Saccharomyces cerevisiae S288C: one gene and its partners. Changing the gene in region 1 together with any one later gene gives a genetic interaction. Each region holds a gene or a part of one and is shown in the gene's direction. Other genes may lie near its edges.

The links.
Region 2: mutations in BIG1 (region 1) and KEX1 together harm fitness more than expected from each alone (negative genetic interaction), as found in Saccharomyces cerevisiae (2 studies listed by BioGRID).
Region 3: mutations in BIG1 (region 1) and DFG5 together harm fitness more than expected from each alone (negative genetic interaction), as found in Saccharomyces cerevisiae (3 studies listed by BioGRID).
Region 4: mutations in BIG1 (region 1) and GDA1 together harm fitness more than expected from each alone (negative genetic interaction), as found in Saccharomyces cerevisiae (2 studies listed by BioGRID).

Annotation. Positions count from the first base shown.
Region 1 is NC_001140.6:313,284-319,158, reverse strand, and holds BIG1 (Big1p), read left to right. Parts: upstream 1-3,190; coding exon 3,191-3,300; intron 3,301-3,387; coding exon 3,388-4,285; downstream 4,286-5,875. Other genes in the region: putative serine/threonine protein kinase KIC1, read right to left, coding at 1-2,587; GEP4 (phosphatidylglycerophosphatase), read left to right, coding at 4,486-5,043; histone acetyltransferase TRA1, read right to left, coding at 5,164-5,875. UniProt on the Saccharomyces cerevisiae protein: Required for normal beta-1,6-glucan synthesis.
Region 2 is NC_001139.9:110,575-117,282, reverse strand, and holds KEX1 (serine-type carboxypeptidase), read left to right. Parts: upstream 1-2,618; coding exon 2,619-4,808; downstream 4,809-6,708. Other genes in the region: ARO8 (bifunctional 2-aminoadipate transaminase/aromatic-amino-acid:2-oxoglutarate transaminase), read right to left, coding at 1-1,224; YGL204C (uncharacterized protein), read left to right, coding at 5,278-5,583.
Region 3 is NC_001145.3:743,589-749,685, forward strand, and holds DFG5 (putative mannan endo-1,6-alpha-mannosidase), read left to right. Parts: upstream 1-2,764; coding exon 2,765-4,141; downstream 4,142-6,097. Other genes in the region: BCH1 (exomer complex subunit), read left to right, coding at 161-2,335; RNT1 (ribonuclease III), read right to left, coding at 4,674-6,089. UniProt on the Saccharomyces cerevisiae protein: Required for normal synthesis of the cell wall.
Region 4 is NC_001137.3:70,743-76,825, forward strand, and holds GDA1 (guanosine diphosphatase), read left to right. Parts: upstream 1-3,028; coding exon 3,029-4,585; downstream 4,586-6,083. Other genes in the region: GTA1 (Gta1p), read left to right, coding at 1-2,606; YEF1 (NADH/NAD(+) kinase), read left to right, coding at 5,202-6,083. UniProt on the Saccharomyces cerevisiae protein: After transfer of sugars to endogenous macromolecular acceptors, the enzyme converts nucleoside diphosphates to nucleoside monophosphates which in turn exit the Golgi lumen in a coupled antiporter reaction, allowing entry of additional nucleotide sugar from the cytosol.

The DNA of each region.
Region 1 (5,875 bases):
TGGATATGCCAGCGCTCCCCGGCATGCCATTGTTATTCTGTGAGGTTGCTGTATTTGGATCAAGAAGTTTATTTCTCACAACAGGTGTAGGTAGTGGCATTTGTAGTTTTAAGTTTGGGTTGTTGCGTTTAAAGTCACCATTGACCCTTGAGCCTTCCTTTTCGTTGGAAAAGTAGTTTGATGAGGTTAAATTATTGCTGCTATTACCACTAATAGTGTTAAGTGTAGAAGAACTAGGTATGCTGTTCAGAGGTTGCAAGAGAATGTCCTTGTTATCTTTGCTATTGGCCATTGGTTTCATCGTAGGAGGAGGCGCGAGGTTCGTGTGAGTAGAATTATGACCAATGTTTTGGGTTGGGGAACCGGCAGGCTTTCTATTGGGAGAAGTTCCAACTCCAAATAGTGGCCTTGAGGGTGAAGAAGCCTTATGAGTAGATAACTTTGTTACATTACCTGGATTGGTTATGCCCATTTGTGTGCTATTTGCAGTGTTACTACCGCTGCTTCCTCTTGAGTTCTCACTATCAGTGTTGTTGTTATAGTTATTACTGTTGTTCGGAGTGGAGCTGATTCCGGAATTAGAAGCAACTGCGGACCCCAATTTTTGATTTGTTATGGTGCTTGGGCAATGTTCTGGCCTATTGTTACTGACTGTCAACCGCCTGGGCACGTTTGAAGGTGATTTATATTGTATTGAGCTAGATGACGAAGGAGTGCCAGCCGTCACTGTAGATGACCTGGCCTTTGTGCTTGGTATTAAAACCGGATCTGCGCTCGCAGGCGTTGGTAGAGCACTATTCGGTAGTTCTTCAGGAATTTCTATTTCAATAGACGTTGGAGCAGTAGTTAATCCACTTGTTGGAGGGCCCTTTGACGTCTTGTTAAATTTTGTTTGGAGTAGCGGCAAAGCAGGTGTACTCTGGCTATAATAATTGTTCCCACTGGATAAAGGTGGAAGGTGTGGTCGCATTTTATTATTATTGATATTTCCGTTGACCTCGTTGGATATTGAGGGAATGAAATCATCTCGTGAACTATTACCAGCATTTAGAGATGAAATGGATTTGCTTATTTTAGGAGCTTCTGTATTGACATCATTTTCAGCAGTAATAATTTCATTGTCTTCAAAAAGTTCAAGTAATTGTTTTGGAGCCTTACTTTCCAGCCTCTTAGATGATGTCATTGGACCGGCCGTATGTGTTCCAGAGGTGTTTGTAGTTCCAGCTACCATTTTGGAAGGGTATTTTGAGTTCGTATAGTTATTTGTTACTGGTGCATTCAAAGTAGAATTTTGAGCTATTGTACCAGGATAGCCCTTTCCTATCGTTGTCCCTTGATAAACAAAGGGTCTAGTATTATGACTTGTAGGGTCAAAGTAATAAGAATCTTCGTCAGGGTATGCATAGTTGAACAGGTCATGTTGGGCAGTAGCCCACTCGTTGTTGTCCTCAGCCAAAGCATCGAGGTTGATATTATTTTCAATAATATAATCCGACGAACTCAATGAATCAAAATCCCATTTCATTTCCACATCGCCTTCGTTCACTCTCTTAATTTCATTATCATTTGATGCTATTGACTTTTGTGCTTCATCACCCCCGCCATTTTGTGATGGTTTTGGAGCTTCACTGGGTTTTGATGGCTCATTTTCCGGTATACTGCCCTCTATTTTATATTTGTTTTTATTCTTGTCCCTAAATAGTAGATATCGTGATATTAGTTCTTTCAAAATGGACGTTGGCGTCGCCTTGTGGGCCCTGATAAATTTTGATTTTAAAAGATCGTCTGCTGACAATCTCTCCTTTGGATCCTCATCAAGACAAAGCGCAATAAATTCTTTCAAAGATGTACTGTATGATCTGTCCTCAAGCCTCGGTGGTTTCGATTTGATGATTAGTTGCATTGCCCTTAGGGCCTCCACATCGCAGTATGGCGGATTTCCGGTGGCAATCTCGTACGTTGTAATACCTAAAGACCATATATCTACTTTAGTGTCGTAATAAACGCCTTCCATGATCACTTCTGGAGCCATCCAGTAGGGGGTCCCAGCCATAGTTTGACGTCGTAAAGAAGTTTGGTTTACTTGTGCAGCGACACCAAAATCGCATAGTTTAACATTACCTTCGTTAGTGATCAGAACGTTTGCTGCTTTGATATCTCGATGAATGACGTTATCTTTATGAATGCATTTTAATGCTACAAGCAGTTCTCTCATAATAACCCCAATGTACTTTTCATCGATTTTGCCTGGCCTTAACAACGAACGCAGTGAACCACCAGCGCAGTGTTCCATTATGATCCAAAGGCTTGTGTCTTTCAAATACGACCCATAATACCGCGTGATATTGGAAATCTGTTTCAAGGAGGCCAAAAACTGAATTTCTCGCTGCACATCCTCCACCTCGTCAGAATCAGAATCTAAATTTAAGACTTTGATAGCATACACTCGTCCAGTCTTCACGTTATAGCCCTTATAAACCACACCAAATTTCCCTCGCCCAATAACTTCCGTTCTCTTGAAAAGTGAACTCACATCCATCTCTCCTTCGGCTAAACCCTGCTTACTATTTTGTGGCTTCGTCGTCATTACTGCCTGTTCTCTATACGTGTTTTGCTTGCCAGTCGATGGCGCCCAAATTTATACTTTTTGTTTCTTTATCTGTGTACTGTTAAAAGTAGTACTGTTAAAAGTAGTAAGCTCCTTAGAAAGCGGTTCCGCCTAATAGTTCCTAACTTGTTGTATGTGGCTTCACGTAGGACGAGTTGCCTCTGTTCTTCTTTGACTTTTGCCACGTCGGCAAGCTGCTGCTCTTGTTGATGCCTTTAAAGATTGTCAGATCGGCCTGAGATCGACGTGTGGCATGATAATGTTGCTCGATGGGCTGTAAATAGATAAGAAAGAGTGAAACGAATAGAGTAACGAGGCCACAGATGTGGCGAAACCTGGGAGGATATGTTCTAACGTTATCTAGAGTTCTGATAGAGCATTGTATGCGATAGTACCGCTGACATATGTGCATTCTTTAATTATATCGATGATATCATGCAACACGGGTTAGCTCTGTAGTAATGTAAACCTCTCTTAACTACGGCCAAGAATATCAGCAGCGGAGGTTAAGTTGCAGGTTATACCTATCTGTTTTGTAGTTAGGAAACGTAGGCGCATACTAATTAGGAGTAGCAAGGCAAGATGCAAACTGTGTTGAAATATTTGTTGCTTATTATGTGTGGAAGCTTTTGTGCTTCGGAGGAATTGCAAAACCAGACCAATGTTCCTGCAATATTCTTCTCTTACAAACTGTATGTAGAACAAGAAACATTAATCTTTAGTAACTTTCATTTTTCTTACTAACTAGATGTTATACACATATTTGTACTTTTGGATAGAACTCCCGGTATTTTAAAGTATCAAGAGGATTATGATAGGGCTGTGACTTTACCAAGAGACACCTTTATTGAAGCGGCTGAGAAATTCTTAGGTGTATGTAATGCTGACACTTATGTGTTTATTAATCAACCAGGCCTGAGGAAATTGGACTTCTTGGAATTTGAAACAGAGTTTGTTTCGTTACAGAGATATATAAGACGGAGTTCAACCGCGATTAAGTTCGAAAAGGTAGACCTATTGCCTCAAGATTTATACTATGATCTTGCAGAGTTTGTAAAGGAGTATTGTAACGTAGACCAGGTGTTGAACTTACGAGGTAATAATACAGAAGATTTCCAGCCCTTTATTGATAGCGAAAAAAGAGTGATTATAATAGAGTACCCTAAGTTACCAGAGGACACTAATGAACGTAAAGAAGCATTCCGCCATTATGACAAGTATTTGAGGACTATACTGGCGCAGATTCCGTCGCCAGAACAAAATGTCATTTACACCTCGTTAAACCCAGGAACTACGCTGGCTCACGAGTCGATCATCCCTATCCAAATATTTCCAGATATCTTTGACATAAAATCCAGAGTGGGTGAAGTGGAACAAAATAATAGAGTTTTGGATGTGCCTCGTCTGTCGTTTAATGACTATACTCCACGATTTTCAGAGCCACCTTCGGAGTATGTCTCAATATTTGATTCACAATTAATTGAGAATAACAGAGGTTTATTACAGCTGATTTTCACAATTTTGGTTGGGTATATTCTTATTCAGTTTTTTTTCACAAAAAAAACTATTGTAGATGAGAAGATTACTAATAAAAAGGACAACGTGAAACAGACGTCACCACAACTGCTCAAAAAAGTGCAAGAGATCCAGAAAAAGCCATCCCAGCAAGTATCTTGATTATGGTTCGTTATATACATCGATTCTTTGCAAAATTATCCATGAGAGACTTCGCGCCATGCTACAATTTACCAATGCGCATCGAGAAATTTATGCTATCGCATTTAATATGATATAATTATCCGTCTGTTTATATATATATATATATGGGGCCAAACTGAAAGGCGGCAGTTACATTACATCGTCTCCTCTACCTAGTCATGAACATCAGTGGCACCTTAAATACGCTCCGGTTGCTTTATAACCCATCACTGTGTAAGCCTAGTCTAGTTGTCCCCACTTTTAACGATCTTCCTATACCAATCCACGATTCTATAAAGGCCGTGGTCTTGGATAAGGACAACTGCATCGCCTTCCCTCATGATGACAAAATATGGCCAGATTACTTGCAACACTGGGAAACCTTAAGGTCGAAATACTCTAACAAAGCACTCTTGATTGTTAGCAATACCGCCGGTTCCAATTCTGATAAGGACTATTCGCAAGCAAAACTTTTGGAAGATAAGACAGGTATACCTGTTTTGCGGCACTCTACAAAGAAACCAGGTTGTCACAACGAAATATTAGATTATTTTTATAGAAACAAAACCATAACAAATCCAAAAGAGGTTGCTGTTGTTGGAGATAGGCTTTTTACTGACATCTTGATGGCAAACCTAATGGGTTCATACGGGGTGTGGATTCGAGATGGTGTTAAAGTTTCGGCAAATCCTCTCTCCAAGTTCGAAAAAAAATTATACAACTTTTTGGGATTTTGATTAGGCAACTTTAATAAAAAGTAAAACATTTTAATTTTTTATATAGTACATATTTTTTGAGGCTTTCTCTACCTTCATTAAATACAGAGAAAAGGCCGGAAACTAACCCATGTATCAGCTCTAGAACCATGGCATGAAGTTCACGTCTGTTCTTGCTAAGTTTCTTGGACTGACAGCGCTGCCAATACAGTCTAGGATGAACTGGGTTGTGACTGTAGGTGTTGAATTCAAATGGCCCAATTGTGCCACCTTTCTAATAATTAGGTCAACGTTGGTTTGAACCATCTCACGTAACTGTGGATTTTCAATGATTGGCCGGTGAAGGTTGCTAAACCATGATATGATCTCGTCACGGATGAATAGGGCCAAGTATGTGTTCAGTTCATTATCAGGTTCAATTAATGCACGTGATATGGTAAATAAATTTACCGCAAATATACCTTCTAAAGCAGAATCACCTATCAAAGATTGAATATTAGGCGTCAGTCTGAATGGAACTGGTTCATTATTATGAAATATCGGAGAATCTGGTGGAAGACTTAAGTCATGATTCTTTAGCAATGGTTTCACCCTTTCATATGGAAATCTTGAGGGTAACATTTCTAAAGTAAATACATTACCAGAGGTTTTGTCAACATGGATTTTGTGAGGAGTACGGTTATTGATCATCATCATGTAAGACATGAAGACAAACGAACTGTATTGTGACGCAAATTGTTTACGGAATAACCAGAAATCTTCAAATTGAGTAAACAACGAGGTAAAATGGTCTTTTAAAACATTTGATGGTACAAACATTGTTTGAATTGAATTGAAAATTTCAACTTTCAAT
Region 2 (6,708 bases), on another chromosome or scaffold:
GACAGATGCGTCAATGTTCACGGTGAAAAACATACCTGCAATTGGAGGATTGATCACGAAAGCATCAGATTGTGGTAGATACTTGTAAAGGGCATCGATGGCACAGTCACGTTTCAAAGTGTATTCATGACGCAGGCCAAGCAACCAGTCCAAGTAACCCTTTTGACCCCACCTGGATAGCGTAGCGTTGACCAAAACTTGTGTAAAACCTGCTGGGGCTTGAATCGTCATTTCATGCAAACTCAAGTAAGGCTTCAAGATTTTGGATGAACCAGTAATCCAACCCAATCTTGTCCCTGGGGCCAAAACTTTTGAAAAGGAATCCATTCTAATAACACGGCCTTCTGTATCCAAGGAAAGGAAAGTGTTTGCCAAGGACTTCAAAAATTCGTCATGGTCCTGCTTTGGAGAACTTTGTGCCTTCTCTCTTTCCTTCAAGTCTTTGATGTAGGGATTCATTTGTAAGAAATAATAAGGTTCATCTTCCACAATTAGGAAGTCGTACTTTTGAGCGATCTTGTAAATTGCCTCCTTTCTATGGTCTGCAATGGAAGTACCAGTTGGATTTTGGCCCGTTGGAATAGTGTATAACAACTTTGGTTTAGGAGCACCAGGTGTCCAGTTTTCCATGACTTTAGCTAATTTTTCAGGAATGATACCATCAGCGTCAATTGGCACGGGGAAGGTAATGACACCTTGAGCCTCTGCAGAAGCCAATGAAGAGGAAAAAGAATGTGCCTCAACTAAGATGACATCACCTCGGTTACAAAAGACTCTTAAAGTAGATTCCCAGGCATTTGTGTTACCTGCAGTGGCTAAAACGTCCCAGTCCTTATACTTCAAATCGTGGATAATCTTGGTATGATCTCTAATGAAGTTTAATAGTTCAGGTTGACCAGCACTGAACCCGTATTGCAAAGCTCTTGACAAAGGAATATCGTTGGAAGGATTGGCACTTTTATCAGCGTAATCTTTGTTGACGGTGTATTTTATGCAATTCTGCTCGTCAATTGGAGCTCCAATACCCTGGGGAAAAGGAGGCTTGGGTGAATCTACAGATAGATTATCCCATGGGAAATAATCTTTTAATGGCAGGCCACCACCCAAAAAGATAATGTTAGGATCTTGGAAAAGATGGATGCAGGTTTTCAATGGGGATGGTTTACGAGCATTGGTTTCATCCGAAAACAAGTAAGAAAAGTCTTTTGATTCAGGTAAAGTCATGATAGTAACGATCGGTTGTCCTATTCAATGTCTGTATCAACTGCAGGGTTTAACTTAGTGGAATGGAAAAATAAGAAAAAGAAATAAGTTCTTAAAGATATAACCAAACCAAATATATAGTCTAGAGATGTGTATAGGAGGGTCTACAAGATAAGAAAAAAGATTGCGATACACATATCTTCAAATGAAATGCGCTTAATATTAGTCATAGATTGGACCTCGAGAAAGTGAAAAAGTGCAGAGTGAAAAATGTGATAAAAAAAGGAAAAAAAGACATCTAAGGTAACCCGGATGTTCTTCATTATTCCGGCGCAATTTAGTACTGTTCTTCTATCAATGGCAATTCAGAAGCCAGATTCTTGAATGAGGTGAAGGAGAACAATGGTTATAGGTTAATTAAGAGATTTTTGGATGGTGTATATGAGCCATGTTTAATCTTGGAAAAATAGTGAACCGGGAAAAAAATAAAGAAGAACTCCTCATAGGGGGCTCGAACCCCTGACATTTCGGTATCCTTGCTTAAGCAAATGCGCTTAAAAGCCGAACGCTCTACCAACTGAGCTAACAAGGATGAGTTCTTCGGATTTCTTCGATAATAGTTTTAGTTAAATATACATTATGTTCACATAATGCTATTATTTAATGCACATGTTAATGGACGGTAAACTACTTATCATTTATTGCAACAAATGAAAAGACACCACCCTAACAGCACGAAAAATGATGTTAATGTCTTGTATAGTATTGTCGGATAACTAACTCTCGTCTCAACAAAGCTTAAATAAGAGCTGAGAGATTGGTGAATTTTAAGATGATTGTAGGCATTTCATTGTTGATCAAGGCTACAATATTATGTATACAGAATATACTAAAAGTTCTCCTCGAGGGTAGAGGAATCCTCAAAGGGGAAGCGATATTTCTACATAATATTATTACGATTATTCCTCATTCCGTTTTATATGTTTCATTATCCTATTACATTATCAATCCTTGCACTTCAGCTTCCTCTAACTTCGATGACAGTTTCTCATACCTTATGTCATCGTCTAACACCGTATATGATAATATACTGGTAGTGTGACTACTAGTTTATAGACGATAGTTGATTTTTATTCCAACAGGATCATTTTGTTAGGTGAGGAATTGCGAGCTTTTTGGCTATAACTTTCAAGTTTTGTCACCAACATTTATATTTGCTTACTGCAGCCCGGAACCGAAAAACAATGTGGAAAAAGAAAAAAAAGTGGAATATTTTGATAATATAGGAAACATTAAGAAAAGCGATTTCTTATCATTGTCTTCAACTCCCATCTATTTGAAAAAGCTTGCTGAAGCATACTTTGGTTAAAGAGTACCTTGGCTATAGAATACCGTAGAGATAAAGACCTGAATAGATGTTTTACAATAGGTGGCTCGGAACGTGGCTAGCCATGTCTGCTTTAATAAGGATCTCAGTATCCCTTCCGTCATCTGAGGAGTACAAAGTGGCATATGAGCTGTTGCCAGGGTTATCTGAAGTGCCAGACCCTTCAAATATTCCACAGATGCATGCTGGCCATATTCCTTTACGTTCCGAAGATGCGGATGAACAGGATAGCTCTGACTTGGAGTACTTTTTTTGGAAGTTTACCAATAACGACTCTAATGGCAATGTCGACCGTCCCTTAATTATATGGTTAAATGGTGGACCCGGTTGCTCTTCCATGGATGGTGCCTTGGTCGAATCCGGCCCTTTTAGGGTGAATTCAGACGGTAAACTTTATCTAAATGAAGGGTCCTGGATATCCAAAGGCGATCTTTTATTTATCGACCAACCTACTGGTACTGGGTTTTCTGTCGAACAAAATAAAGACGAAGGTAAAATCGACAAAAACAAATTTGACGAAGACCTAGAAGATGTGACCAAGCATTTTATGGATTTTCTGGAGAACTATTTCAAGATTTTTCCAGAAGACCTCACTAGGAAAATCATACTATCGGGTGAAAGTTACGCTGGCCAATACATACCATTCTTTGCCAATGCAATTTTGAACCATAACAAATTTTCAAAGATCGACGGGGATACATACGACTTGAAGGCGCTATTGATTGGTAACGGTTGGATTGACCCCAATACACAGTCCCTATCGTACCTTCCGTTTGCTATGGAGAAGAAACTGATTGATGAAAGCAACCCCAATTTCAAACACTTAACGAACGCACACGAGAATTGCCAGAATCTGATAAACTCTGCCAGTACAGATGAGGCAGCCCATTTTTCGTATCAGGAATGTGAGAATATTTTAAACCTTCTATTGTCTTATACCAGGGAATCTTCGCAAAAGGGAACAGCGGATTGCTTGAACATGTATAACTTCAATTTAAAAGATAGTTATCCATCTTGTGGTATGAATTGGCCGAAAGATATTTCCTTTGTCAGTAAATTCTTCAGCACACCTGGTGTTATTGATTCGTTGCATCTTGATTCTGATAAAATTGATCATTGGAAGGAATGCACTAATAGCGTTGGAACTAAATTGTCTAATCCTATTTCAAAGCCATCTATCCATTTATTACCTGGTCTACTTGAAAGTGGAATAGAGATTGTCTTGTTCAATGGTGACAAAGACTTGATTTGTAATAACAAGGGCGTATTAGATACTATAGACAATCTAAAATGGGGTGGAATAAAGGGATTTAGCGACGATGCTGTTTCGTTCGATTGGATCCATAAATCGAAGAGTACAGACGACAGCGAAGAATTTAGCGGATACGTGAAGTATGATAGAAATTTGACGTTTGTTAGCGTTTATAATGCTTCTCACATGGTACCCTTCGATAAAAGTTTAGTGAGTAGAGGCATTGTCGATATTTACTCGAACGATGTTATGATCATTGACAACAATGGGAAAAATGTTATGATTACTACTGACGACGATAGTGATCAAGATGCTACTACTGAAAGCGGTGATAAGCCAAAAGAAAACCTCGAAGAGGAAGAACAGGAAGCGCAGAATGAGGAAGGAAAGGAAAAAGAAGGCAATAAAGATAAAGATGGCGATGATGATAACGACAATGATGACGACGATGAAGACGATCACAACTCCGAGGGCGACGACGATGATGACGATGACGATGATGAAGACGATAATAATGAAAAACAAAGTAATCAAGGCCTCGAGGATAGTAGACATAAATCTTCAGAATATGAACAAGAAGAGGAAGAGGTAGAAGAATTTGCAGAAGAGATTTCAATGTATAAACACAAAGCGGTAGTAGTTACCATCGTTACATTTTTGATAGTGGTTTTAGGAGTTTATGCGTATGATAGAAGAGTGAGGAGAAAAGCGCGTCACACAATTTTAGTTGATCCAAATAATAGACAACATGACAGTCCCAATAAGACAGTTTCATGGGCAGATGATCTGGAAAGCGGACTCGGGGCAGAAGATGATTTAGAACAAGATGAGCAGTTAGAAGGCGGAGCACCCATAAGTAGCACTTCTAACAAAGCAGGATCTAAATTGAAAACTAAGAAAAAGAAGAAGTATACTAGCCTTCCGAACACTGAAATCGATGAATCTTTTGAGATGACTGATTTTTAACTTGGCAAATAAAAATATATAAAAAATACAGAAAAATAGTTATAATACCTCGCACACGCTTTTCGTAGTAACAGCGACATAAAGATAAATTCTTTAAAGGGTACAATCCATCAAGAACTGACTGTTTTATTTAATTCACACTACTGAACTTCATATTAAAGTGTCGTCATTTAAGTCTAGTAGGTTATATTAATCGCGCACAATAGTTTTTTTTTATGCAAACTGTATCACGAATATTTTTTCAGTTTTCGGACCATTTTTTGACATTTTTAACCAGTTTTTAACATTTTTATGGTAGCGTTCTTTTATTTTTCACGTAATTGCATTGAAATAGACATAAACGTATAAAATAATATACAAGTAATTAGAGCTTTTGAACGAGATTGTTTAGTGGTTGTTTTAACTCCTTCACAGAAGTTGAAAACTTCAACGCATTCATAGCCCCACATATCAACACAAATCCCTGGAAATGAATGGAACTGATATCCTTCGTTTTTTGCAATCTTCCCCCACCATTAGTTACAGCAAACATTTTATACTTATAACAGCATGCCCTCTGTTTGTATTAGGACTATTATTGTTAGGTCTTAGAACAGCAATGTTCAAACAAGTAAGAGGTAAAACGACAACAAGTAGAAATAGAGGTGTCATTGCGGCAAAGTTATTAGTTGCATGGTATCTTGCCACCATAGTTATGTATATTGCTAAAAGCGAAATGTGGAAATATGCCTTTGCTGTTTCGCTACTTCTTAATAGTTTGGCACTATTTTTTTGAAAAAATGGAATCGATATTTCTGCATATTAATATCACCATCATTTCTCCTCCCTTATATGTTCCATTACCCTATTACATTATAAATCCTTGTATTTCTGCTTCCTCTACCTTCGATGAAAGCTTCTCATACCTTATGTCATCTTCTAACACCGTATATGATAATATATTGGTAGTGTGACTACTAGTTGATAAACTGTTGGAATAAAAATCAACTATCATCTACTAACTAGTATTTACGTTACTAGTATATTATGATATTCGGTGTTAGAAGATGACGCAAATGATGAGAAATAGTCATCTAAATTAGTGGAAGCTGAAACGCAAGGATTGATAATGTAATAGGATCAATGAATATTAACATATAAAACGATGATGATAATATTTATAGAATTGTGTAGAATTGCAGACTCCCTTTTATGGATTCCTAAATCCTGGAGGAGAACTTCTAGTATATCTACATACCTAATATTATTGTGTTGATAATTAGAGGTTAAAAATTAGTATTAATGAAGAAGTGAGTACTGATCTTCTTATACTAAATAAGAGAGGTATATAAAACACACGCCGATTGGTCATATTAATCATGACCAATATAATAGTGATTCCGGTAGTTACTATACATTGATGTGACGACTCATATTCCTCATATATGTACCTACCATATCATGTTCAGCTAATAGGTCTTTAACACAGCTTCAGTATTGTCTGAGCTTCTCGTTTAACATTCCTTCTGCAATAGGCGCAATCACACTTAAACGTATACGATGTGTACATTAATATACGATGTAAGCATTAGATTGTTACCATAGCAACTCATGTCACTATTAATTACTCTCGTTCCAACATATTGCCTTATTAAAAATGGAATCCCAACAATTACATCAGAATCCACACAATCATCATGATGTTTTAGAGCTTCATTCCAACAAGTGCCAACACAGCACATTTATTATTTGTTATGTATATAATTCTGAGATATTGAGTAAACACTCAATAATTACCTGCCATCTTAGTATAGTGGTTAGTACACATCGTTGTGGCCGATGAAACCCTGGTTCGATTCTAGGAGATGGCAATTTTTTTACTACTATACATTGGTAAATGTAGTCATGTCATTGATTCGTC
Region 3 (6,097 bases), on another chromosome or scaffold:
GCCCTTTCCTACATGGAAAGTTAGAGAAATGAGATCTACACGATAATGTAGTAACAAATGGACCCTTAAACATCTCAATTCATCTTCTTGAGAGCACTTTCCGCGCTGTATTGATTTTTAGAACGTGAAAAGGATAAACTGAAAACTTGAAGTCCTAACCATGTTGTCTCAAACCTCCATACCGGAAGTGAAAGAAGACGTGATAGGCTATGCGCTACACCAGAGGAGAGCCAGAGTGGGACAATTCCAAGACTTGGGTCCGCCTGATTTAATTACTTTGATCAAATCGTTACCTTCATCCTCGAGCACAACAACTGCTACTGCCTCCGCCAACGATAACGGAGCAACTTCAAACATCAATGGACAAGATCCTACGACCATAGTTACGGAGTTACATTCCCATGACAAATTAAAGGGGCAGATCGGCACTTTCTTTTACTGTATGGGTATCGATACTTCGGATCCAACTTCTATTACAATCTTTGCCAAAAAGATAACCGATCTTTTCTTAGACACGCCCCAAATTTGGTTTGGTAAGAAGAAGCACTTTCACGTATCGAAGATTTCTATCAGTTCTTGGAATGCGTTTAGGAAATATGATGTTAACATTATAGTTCACATTCCAGGAACTGTGCAAACCTACATTATAAATAGCGACGGTGAACAATCGCAACTTCCCTCCGTGGCAGAAGCGTCATCTGGCCGCAACTCACAGGATTTAAACGTCAACATGATTTGGGCGGAAACGTTTATGAGTGGTATTGTACGTGACATTATGATTATGAAAGATAATCGTGCGGATGGAGAATCCCAGAATTTGGTAGAAACACTAATTTTCAATCCATTTACCTCGGGTGAGTTGGAAGATGTTGCCAATAACTTTATTAAACTGTTCCCCTTGGTCTATGAAAAAGGTGTTTATTTAGATGCACCTACTCACGTTTTAAATCCCTCGTTAACCAATAATTATTTAGTGGAAACTTTAGTGGAAATAGTTAGGTTAACTAAGAGTTTGGAAGCATGTCGTAAAATGCTCAAGAAGTTAATAGAAATTCATCCAGAAGCAGTAATAATATTAATTCGTGTTTATTTTGCGTGCGATTTAGAGATAGATGCAGTTGACCTGATCAACGAGCAACTAAATTCCCCCTCTTCGTTCTTAGCCGACGATTCAAAGACTAGCCATATCCAGCTAATCTTCAAATCCGAATTATTAAGTATTCAAAGTGAATTCTTACTGGATGTCAAGAGAGATTACAAGCTTGCTAAGGAAGTAGCCATGGAGGCTGTTAACTGTGCACCAAACGAATTTAAAACTTGGTATTTATTGACTAGAATATACATTAAACTAAACGATATGTCAAATGCCTTGCTATCGTTAAACGCCTGCCCCATGTCACAGGTTAAGGAAAAATACGTTCTTAGAAGAATTGCGCCTATTACTTCAGATGAAAATCTTCATCTGCCATTACCATTGGATGCCTCAATTGAGGAGATTTCGTCATTGAACCCCATGGATGTCCAGTTGGAGCAAAAGTCCGCAGATCCAAACCTAGTCAATCTCTCTGCGTCAAGTTTAAAGTCTACTTTCCAACTAGCCTATAAATTATTGACAGAAATTGTCCAAATAACAGGATGGGAGCAGCTGTTGAAATATAGATCAAAAATTTTCGTTATGGAAGACGAGTACCAAGGCTCCACTTCTTCCATTGATGAAGCAGAAGTTCGCGGTAATGATATATCCAAAATGAGATCAAAGAGGCTATGCGAAAGATGGTTGGATAATCTCTTCATGTTACTATACGAAGATTTGAAAACTTACACCGATTGGCAATCAGAGCAATTGTATTTTGATGCTCAAAACAGTAAATATCACAAATTAACTGTTGAATGGGAATTATTCGGCCTTTGTGCGAAAAGACTGGGACATCTTCCAGAAGCTGCGAAGGCTTTCCAAATTGGGCTTTCCCAAAGATTTTCTCCAGTATGCGCAAAGAATCTATTACAGTTTTACATTGACGAGCATAAGCGTATTAGGAGGGATTCAGTCTCAGCAAACTCCGAGTTAACCTCTTCTCAAATATTGTCAAGTATCAATGACATCGACAGCTCAATCATCGATCTAGTAGTCAAGATTTGTTGCTGGAATCATCGTTGGTACATCGAGTTCTCAATAATATTAATAGATGCTCTGAGTGTTGCAGTACAAGATATGGGCATTACTAAAGTACATAATGAAATTGCCTCTAGATTTTCTGACCCAGTAGCCCAATTGATTGACGATAACATTCTAAATTTTCTGAAGAATTTCACGAATGACACTTTCGATAATTAGAAAAAGATGAATACAATCAATAAAAAGGTGAAAGAAATCAATTAACAAGAAACGGGTTATGTATTTTATGTATGATATCCTGGCATTGTCATGTATAGGTCACCTTCTTGGGGAATTTCCCATTTTCAAGTTATTCTGCCTCTAATGCGATAACCGTAATCTTAAATTGTTTAATTTCTTTTTCACAATCTGAGCCACGCCCGAAAAAAAAACAATGTAATCCGCGTAAAGCGAAACTGAGTATAACCCAAAAATAGAATGTAAATTAATGAAAAGCCCATTTCTCCAAAAGATCAGCTTTACTCAAATATCTAATTAAGTAATTGACTGTGTACATTGTCCTTTATCTCATTTTGAATCACCTTTATTAATTTTTGGTTGTTATATAGGACGAACAAATTAGAACGAAATCATATCCAGAACGCAGATATGATCGTCAATATTAGTGCGAAGATGATCTTATCGATATGCTTTACGTTTCTGTCATTTTTTAAAGCCACTCATGCCATGGATTTGGATACTACTAGCAAAACGTCAATTTGTGATGCGACAGCGTTAATTCAAGGTGGTATGCTGGATTACTATGAGGGTACTAGATACGGTGGTACCGTTGGGATGTTTCAGTCACCATACTATTGGTGGCATGCAGGGGAAGCATTTGGTGGCATGTTGGAAAATTGGTTTCTTTGTGAGAATGATACATATCAAGAATTACTATACGATGCACTATTAGCGCAAACTGGTTCCAATTACGATTATATCCCGTCCAACCAAACGATGGTTGAGGGGAATGATGACCAAGGTATTTGGGGTATTACTGTTATGGGTGCTGTCGAGAGAAATTTTACAGACCCCGGTGACGGCAAGCCAGGTTGGTTGGCAATGGTACAAGCTGTTTTCAACACCATGTACTCAAGATGGGATTCAGAGCACTGTGGCGGTGGTCTGAGATGGCAAATTTTCACTTGGAATAGTGGTTATAATTATAAAAATACAGTTTCAAATGCATGTTTGTTCCAGATTGCGGCGAGGTTGGGCAGATATACTGGTAACACTACATATTTGGAGGTTGCTGAACAGGTTTTCGACTGGCTAGTGGATGTCGGGTATGTGGTTCTTAACGATACTGCAAATGTCTTTGATGGTGCTGAAATTGATACAAATTGCACTGATATTACAAAAATTGAATGGACTTATAATCACGGTATCGTGCTTGGTGGTCTTGCATACATGTATAATGCTACAAATGGAACAGGTGAATGGGAGACCAGTTTGACAAAAATTCTAAATGGTGCTAAATCTTATTTCTTCAAAGATAGTATTATGTACGAAAGCGCTTGTCAAGACTATGGCACCTGTAACACCGATCAAAGAACATTCAAAAGTATTTTTTCTCGTATGCTTGGTCTTACAAGTGTCATGGCTCCCTTTACTAGGGACACAATTGATGATTTGATAAAAACAAGTGCTGAGGCCGCTGCAAAATCATGTAATGGTGGTACAGATGGGCATACATGTGGTTTAAATTGGCAGAAACAAACCAATGATGGCTACTATGGATTAGGTGAGCAAATGAGTGCTCTAGAAGTTATTCAAAATCTTTTAATTCATGACAGGCCAGCTCCATATAAGGAAGATAATGGCGGTACGTCAAAAGGTGACGCGAATGCCGGTATGAACTCATCGACCACTAACGTGCTACAAAACAATTTAAACATTAAGAAAGGTGATCGCGCTGGTGCCGCTATCATCACAGCAGTCATACTGAGTGTGCTAACTGGTGGGGCTGTGTGGATGCTGTTTTAAATGTGTCAAACTAGGCTCAAAAAAATTTTATTGTATTCTAATATTTAGGCTATCCTTTTCTTTCAGTAAAAATGTTTATGTGCTACATACAAAACCCTTCATGATCAAAAACTGATTAAAATTTAGAGAGGAACAATTGTTTTTAAAAAAAATACTAAAAAACACTCACGATGGGGGTCGAACCCATAATCTTCTGATTAGAAGTCAGACGCGTTGCCATTACGCCACGCGAGCTAGTCATATGTTTCTTTCGTCTTTTTCATCTGATGACATTCTAGTGGAACATTTATGGTAAGATACCGATTCCATTTTAAGGATTTCTATACCCTCGAGGAGAACTTCTAGTACATACATAATTTTATAGCTTTGACCAACAATGGAATCCCAAAAATTATCAAATTTTTTATCAAATATTCAAATATATCAAATATTCTAATGTTTTATAAACGTTTTATGAATGACATATATGCGATAATTATATGGCTAAAGAAAATCAATGCAAGTTCCATCATGGTTGTGTAAAAGGAACGTTTCAGCTTGTATCTGAGAATTTTCTTTTCTTATTCTTTTGTGAGGGATCTTTTAACACAGATTCACTCCTAGGAATGGCAGCTCTTTGTTTGGCGTAAAAATCTAACATTTTTTTGTCACGAAGAGCATTTTCTGCAGCCCTAATACCCGCAATTTTGATATTTCTGCCCACACCGGTCCCTAAAACTGTTCCATCACCTACTCTGCACTCAACTATGGAATTAGGATCAACTGCAGTGGGTTTTTTTACGGTAACATAATGTAGACGTAATGAAGCATAGCCAATCAAAGAGTAAAGCTGCCTTTTAGCATTCATATCAAGTTTATCCGTCTTCTCCAAGGCAACTTGATTACGGGTAGCCTCCTCAATGACAGGTTTGGCAAGCTTTCTTAACCATTTTCTTATTTTGGGCAAATTATTCCTTGGATCATCTTCCATCAAGCCGCCAATGTAAGCTTCGAACACATCTGCATACAGTTTTAGTTTGCCGTTTTGAAAATTGGAATTTTCATCCTTCAAGTCAAAATTTGTCTTAAGTTTCTCATGGAAATTGTACATTATTGACCATTGTTTGATCTGTTCGTTGCTTACCAAATTCATCCTTAATGTTGATAACTGACCCTCGCTGTAATCGGGAAACTTGTTATAAATAATTAATGTCATAACAGAATTTAAGATCGAATCGCCTAGGAATTCTAGTCTTTCATTATGTGCGTTGATCATTTCTGATCCAGACAAGTAAACTTTATCCTTTATTGTGGATTTGTGAATAAATACCCTGGCCCTAATCGCTAAATCTTGAATCTCTGGTAATTTTGGAGGCCATTTTGTTGCCTTGACGATATCACCAGCCTTTGTTGGGTCATAGCTATCTTCTCCTTCGTCTTCTTCTTCATCTTCCTTTTCATTTAAATTTTCGTACACATTTACATCTATTTTCTCTCGCTTTTCCCTTTTAACTTGTTCTAGCTTCTCTAACTTTTCCATATCAGCTTTACTGATTTCTTGCAATATAGGTTGCTTTTGTTCAGTATCAAATTCATTTTCATAATCAGTAATTTCTGTCAAAATTGCGTCTTTTTTAAGATCATGTAAGGTTTTTAATTCAGCTGCCAGTTTTAATTGATAACGTGATAGAGAAGGAAGTATCTGAACAGGCACTCTATCTTGATTGTTAACGGCTTCATTGTAAGCTACCAAATTTGGTGAAAGTTCAATTATTTTATTGTAAGACTCCACCAATTTTGTCACAGCATGTTCTAGTTGAATCACCTCAAGATATTTGTAATTTGATATCTTAAGGTTGCCTTTCAAAAGCGTCTTGGTATTGATATTTTCGCGCTGCTGTGAACCATTTTCGTTATCTAGTTTATTATCATTCTGGGTTTTCTTTTTACCTGCTACTTTTGAGCCCATTGTTTTGA
Region 4 (6,083 bases), on another chromosome or scaffold:
CTATCTTCCCAAACAACCCAAACTCCCTTTACACATGCTGCTCCATCACGGGTCTCGAGGCGGAGACGCAGTACCAGTTAGATTTTATAACGATTAACAACAAGGGCTTTATCAATAAGCTACCCTCCATTTACTGTATGACGAAGGCGAGAGAGGCGAATGAAGCGTTAAAGACTAGAAAATGGAGAAGAAACACCATCACATCGTCCACAGCTATGCAGCCCAGAAACTCCAAGTCCGAACCCGCCCCGTTGCCCTCTCACTACTCCTCTGTTTCCCTGTCTACTTTCTCATCCAATATTACTAATAGCGCCACCAGCAATAATGGTTCAAATCTACCCGCTTACACATCTTTGACTACGTTGAAGGATTTGGATTCGTTTTCCATCGATGATCTGAAAAAGATACTGATTTGCGCCCAGGAGGACTTACACGATGTGTTGTCCCAACAAACTTCGCTTTTGCAAGATTTTCAAGAATCGAAGTTAGAATTAGAACTAGAACTGGATAACTTGAAAACACATTGGTCGCACGAAATTGACTTGCGGAAATCCTTGAAATCCAATATCAAGTCATTGGAGAATTCTAAACTATTGACCGATTTGAAAATCGAAAAATTGAACAAGAAAATCGACAAATCCAAGGAAAAAATATCGAAAATGCGCAATGATATGCAGAAATGGTCTCAGGAAGATACCGAGCTGTTGTCTAAGGATACCATAAAGGAGAAATATTTCAAATTGCTAAATGAATCCAATGCCTCTGTGGCCAATATCAACAAAGAAATTGAGTCTTTACAAAATGAAATTTCCAAGATGGAGGAGTCTAACAAGAGATTGAACGCCTCCAAAAAATCATTGATTACTTCCATAGTGGTGAATGCCAATGTGGAAAACGATAAACCTATTGCTAGCGGAGAATTGTCGGCTGTTTTGAAGAAGCTCAATGATTTTACTTTAGAAAAAAATGGATTTTTAAGTAATGCTGGTGAAGAGTTTCTATCCAAATTGAATGCAGACTCATCATTGATTAAAATGATTAAGCAAGAGCTAAGCATTGATCAAGAATTGGAGGCCAACTGGAAATTGCAGAGGTCAAATTTGTTGAAGAAAATTAGTGCTTTAGAAAACCAATTTAATGAAATGAGCCTTAATAATCGGAATTTGAAAACAAAATTAATGGTTCAACCATATAAGAATAACGGTGATTCGCTTGCTGCCACCAATTCGAATAATTCCGCGGAAAAAAACAGAAGTTCTGGATCGATTCAATTACCATTATCCAACAACATGTCAAGAACGGGGTCCATTGATTTAATATCGAATAATAACAAAAGTATTAACAACAGTAATGCTGATTCTGCTCCTCCGTTGAGGTTGCACAATCCAGTTTCGTACTCTCCTTCGAATGAACCCATACAACCTTCAAGCAGTCTATTGAGTCAATTGACACAGGACACCGATAATCGATCAATGCTCTCCAATCACATCTCATCGAACAACGAAAACAAGCAACAGCCTTCTTCATATTCACATGCTTTACCTACAACTGCTACTGCTAATGCAACAGCAACAGCAACAGCAACTAATGGTCACTCAAGGTCAAATTTATGGACCACCGCACAATTCGCTCAACCTTCGCATCAACAAGTATCTACAGAATTGGATCAAGCTTTTGAATACGATAATGCAAACCACTTAATCAGTGGTTTGCAAAATATGATCTACGACGAAACAGACTATCCTGATAACATAAGCAATTATTCCAAGGGTTTTACTACAGACGAACTTGACAATTACTGGACTAAGCAGCAACCCCAGGTGCGCAGCACAAATGAAAGTCTTTTCTCTACGACTGGAACACCTATGTCATCATATAAGGCTAACCCAGTAATATCTCCATATTCTAGTTCTCATTTGCGACAAACCTCCAACGCAACCAATACGAATCCTATGCATCCACAGAGTCTACTCGCCGCTACATTGAATGATCCTTCATTACAAAGTTTTGTACGCAGTGGTTCTTTCTACAGTGCTCCGCAACCTGCAAACTCCTTACAGAACAATATCAATGGCAATGAAACCGAGAACATTAGTCCAAGGATATCAAGTGACTTCAATTTATTGGTGCCAAACTTGAGCCCACGACTCTCAAACGATGTGCCCATTGTTCCAGGCAATAACACTACTTTAACACCTTCACACTCGAACATATTAACAATGAACCATCAACCAACGGCGGATAACATTACACGAAGATCTTTCCATGCCTCTTCACCACCTTTCAACTCCATATGGAATTCAAATACAAATCAACTTTCTCCTCCATTGGAGGAGCAGTATCACCTCGATGTGCCTGTGGGTCCAAAGGTTCCCGCTAAAGAACCAAGCCCTAAGCCTTCTCACAAGAGGAACCAAAGTAACAGCAGCATTTCTTCTGCATGGTCCAAGTTTAAGCACAAGTCTGCATCATCACCTGCTAATGCGGACACGGATATTCAAGATTCATCAACTCCATCAACTAGTCCAAGCGGTAGAAGAATGTCAAAACTGTTGTCCAAGAGCGGTATGAATAATCTATTTAACCCGCACAGTCACGACTCATGAACAATATTATAATACTTCCAGGTCGTGTATATATGTAGATATATAAATTATGAAACATAATATATGAAAGCAGTTTGAGCTTATTCTTAATCATCAATAGGGTAACGGTATTAATCTCATTTTTTCTTTTTTTTTTTCTTTTTATTTTGGCGTCTCGTCTCAATTTCATTTTTCCCATCTTTTTACAACTTCAATATGAAAAACATAACACATGAAAAATAACTGTCAACATTAATAATATTCCTTGCATAGTGCTTCGATTTTCCAAATATAAAAACAGTTTCTTTTACAAGCTTATTTAATTTTGGTTTTAAGGAGAAAGCACTAATAAAAAGGGCAAGGACTGCAATCAACAATCTTTATTGGCGAACAGTTAAGGGTCCTCTCGAGAAGAAACATTAAGACATCATCGCACAAAAAACATGGCGCCCATCTTTAGAAATTACCGGTTCGCTATCGGTGCTTTTGCCGTTATTATGCTCATTTTGTTGATTAAAACATCTTCCATCGGTCCACCTTCTATTGCACGTACAGTTACTCCTAATGCTAGTATTCCCAAAACTCCGGAGGACATCTCTATCTTGCCCGTCAATGATGAACCAGGTTACCTTCAAGATTCGAAGACTGAACAAAACTATCCTGAGCTTGCCGATGCTGTGAAGTCACAAACAAGTCAAACATGCAGCGAAGAACATAAGTATGTTATCATGATCGATGCCGGCTCTACCGGTTCCCGAGTACATATATACAAGTTTGACGTCTGTACTTCCCCACCTACATTACTTGATGAAAAATTCGACATGTTAGAGCCTGGTTTATCTTCTTTCGATACCGATTCCGTTGGTGCCGCTAACTCCCTTGACCCATTACTGAAAGTAGCAATGAACTATGTCCCTATTAAGGCAAGAAGTTGTACTCCCGTTGCGGTGAAAGCTACTGCAGGCCTAAGACTCTTGGGTGATGCCAAATCTTCAAAAATTTTGAGCGCTGTAAGGGATCATTTGGAGAAGGACTATCCTTTCCCAGTTGTCGAAGGTGATGGTGTTTCCATCATGGGCGGTGATGAAGAAGGTGTCTTCGCCTGGATTACTACAAACTACCTATTAGGTAATATCGGTGCTAATGGCCCCAAGTTACCTACTGCTGCCGTTTTTGACTTAGGCGGAGGGTCTACACAAATTGTTTTTGAGCCTACTTTCCCAATAAATGAAAAAATGGTCGATGGTGAGCATAAATTTGATTTGAAGTTTGGTGATGAAAATTACACCTTGTACCAATTTTCTCATCTAGGTTACGGTTTGAAGGAAGGAAGAAATAAAGTTAACTCTGTTCTTGTGGAAAATGCATTAAAAGACGGCAAAATATTGAAGGGTGATAACACTAAGACTCATCAATTGTCATCTCCATGCCTACCGCCTAAAGTTAATGCCACAAATGAAAAGGTTACATTAGAATCCAAGGAAACTTATACCATTGACTTTATAGGGCCGGACGAGCCAAGTGGTGCACAATGTAGATTTCTGACTGATGAAATTTTGAATAAAGATGCTCAGTGCCAGTCTCCACCATGCTCTTTCAATGGGGTTCACCAACCTTCTTTAGTTCGTACATTCAAAGAATCGAACGATATCTATATTTTCTCTTATTTCTACGACAGAACCCGTCCATTGGGTATGCCCTTGTCCTTTACTTTGAATGAATTGAACGATTTGGCAAGAATAGTGTGTAAAGGCGAAGAAACTTGGAATAGTGTCTTCAGTGGCATTGCGGGGTCCCTAGATGAATTGGAAAGTGACTCGCACTTCTGTTTGGACTTATCTTTTCAAGTGTCCTTATTACATACGGGATATGACATTCCATTACAAAGAGAATTGAGAACTGGAAAGAAAATTGCCAATAAAGAAATCGGTTGGTGTTTAGGTGCGTCATTACCATTGTTGAAAGCTGATAACTGGAAATGTAAAATTCAATCAGCTTGAATAAGAACATGGACACCGCTTTTCGTCCCATGTATATTAAGGAAGAGGAGATTGCGGTGATATGTATTCTGTTATATGTCCTATTCTATAACCCTTGAACAATATGTAAACGATTTTTACGTTATGAAAATCACTATTATCCCCACAATAGTTTATTATAACACCGCCGCCAAGACAGGGGATTGAAAAGGCCTTCCGAGGTTTATCCATTTTTGGTAAAAGCCCGCCACGCCTTCAGGTGTTTGAGTATGAACTGGAAGAGTTATCTGTTAGGACCTCATAATCTTGAACATATGAGATAATTTAATATACTTTTGTTATGGATTGTTCCGTTGTTTTAAGACTATATGGCTTTGTTTTAGTTTTAGGGTGATTGTGGATATCACACCGGTCCTCAAGAAAATCGAAAACAAAAGGATAATCGGACTTATCTGGTGATCGAAGAAACTGCATTTCAGGTCGTTTAATAAACTGCTAGCTATTGATATTATATATATAAATAAACCTACAATCAGGTTAGTGTATTCATCTCACTTCTATAGCGTTGTGAAAGGGAAATGGAAATAGTGCAATCTCAATAAATCTGCTTACGTGACATTTTTTACTAAAAGAGAATATGAAAACTGATAGATTACTGATTAACGCTTCCCCGGAGACATGTACCAAGGGAGATGCTGAGATGGATACTATGGATACTATTGACAGAATGACATCAGTTAAAGTTTTAGCGGAAGGCAAGGTATTAAGCAACTTCGAAGAACCGGGCTTAATGAGGTGCGGTTATCATGATGCAAAAAACTGGGTCAGAAGATTATCGAGCGAAACAATTGTCGGTGAGGACACGAGTAATTTATACCCATTTTATGTTGATACTGCATACGATGTAAGGCGTTTGAGAAAGGATCTTATAAATGCTAAGGTTGACTTGCAGGTTGAAAACCTGATAATAATCTGCAATATTAATGATATTTCCACTGTATTTCTCATGAGAGAAGTGGTGGAATGGATCTTACGCAATTTCCATTCAATAACTGTATATGTACAAGATATTTTTAAAAAGTCAACTCAGTTTGCTGTTGGTGACCTCTGCAAAGACAGCAATTGCAGTAAAAACAGAGTAAAGTATTGGTCAAAAGAATTTGTTAAAAAACACGATTCATTCTTTGACTTGATGATTACACTAGGGGGTGATGGAACTGTCCTTTTTGCTTCATCTATATTCACGAAAGATGTTCCGCCGATTGTTCCATTTGCCCTTGGATCATTAGGATTTCTAACAAATTTTGAATTTCAAAATTTCAAAGAAACGTTGAAACATATCTTAACAGATGAGGTTCGTATTAATTTACGAATGAGGTTGCAATGCAAACTCTACCGTAGAAATAAACCAGAAATTGATGCCGCAACTGGGAGAAAAATATGTTACATCGATTTCATCTCCGAACATCACGTATTGAACGAAGTAACCATAGATAGAGGTCCAGCTCCTTGTTTATCC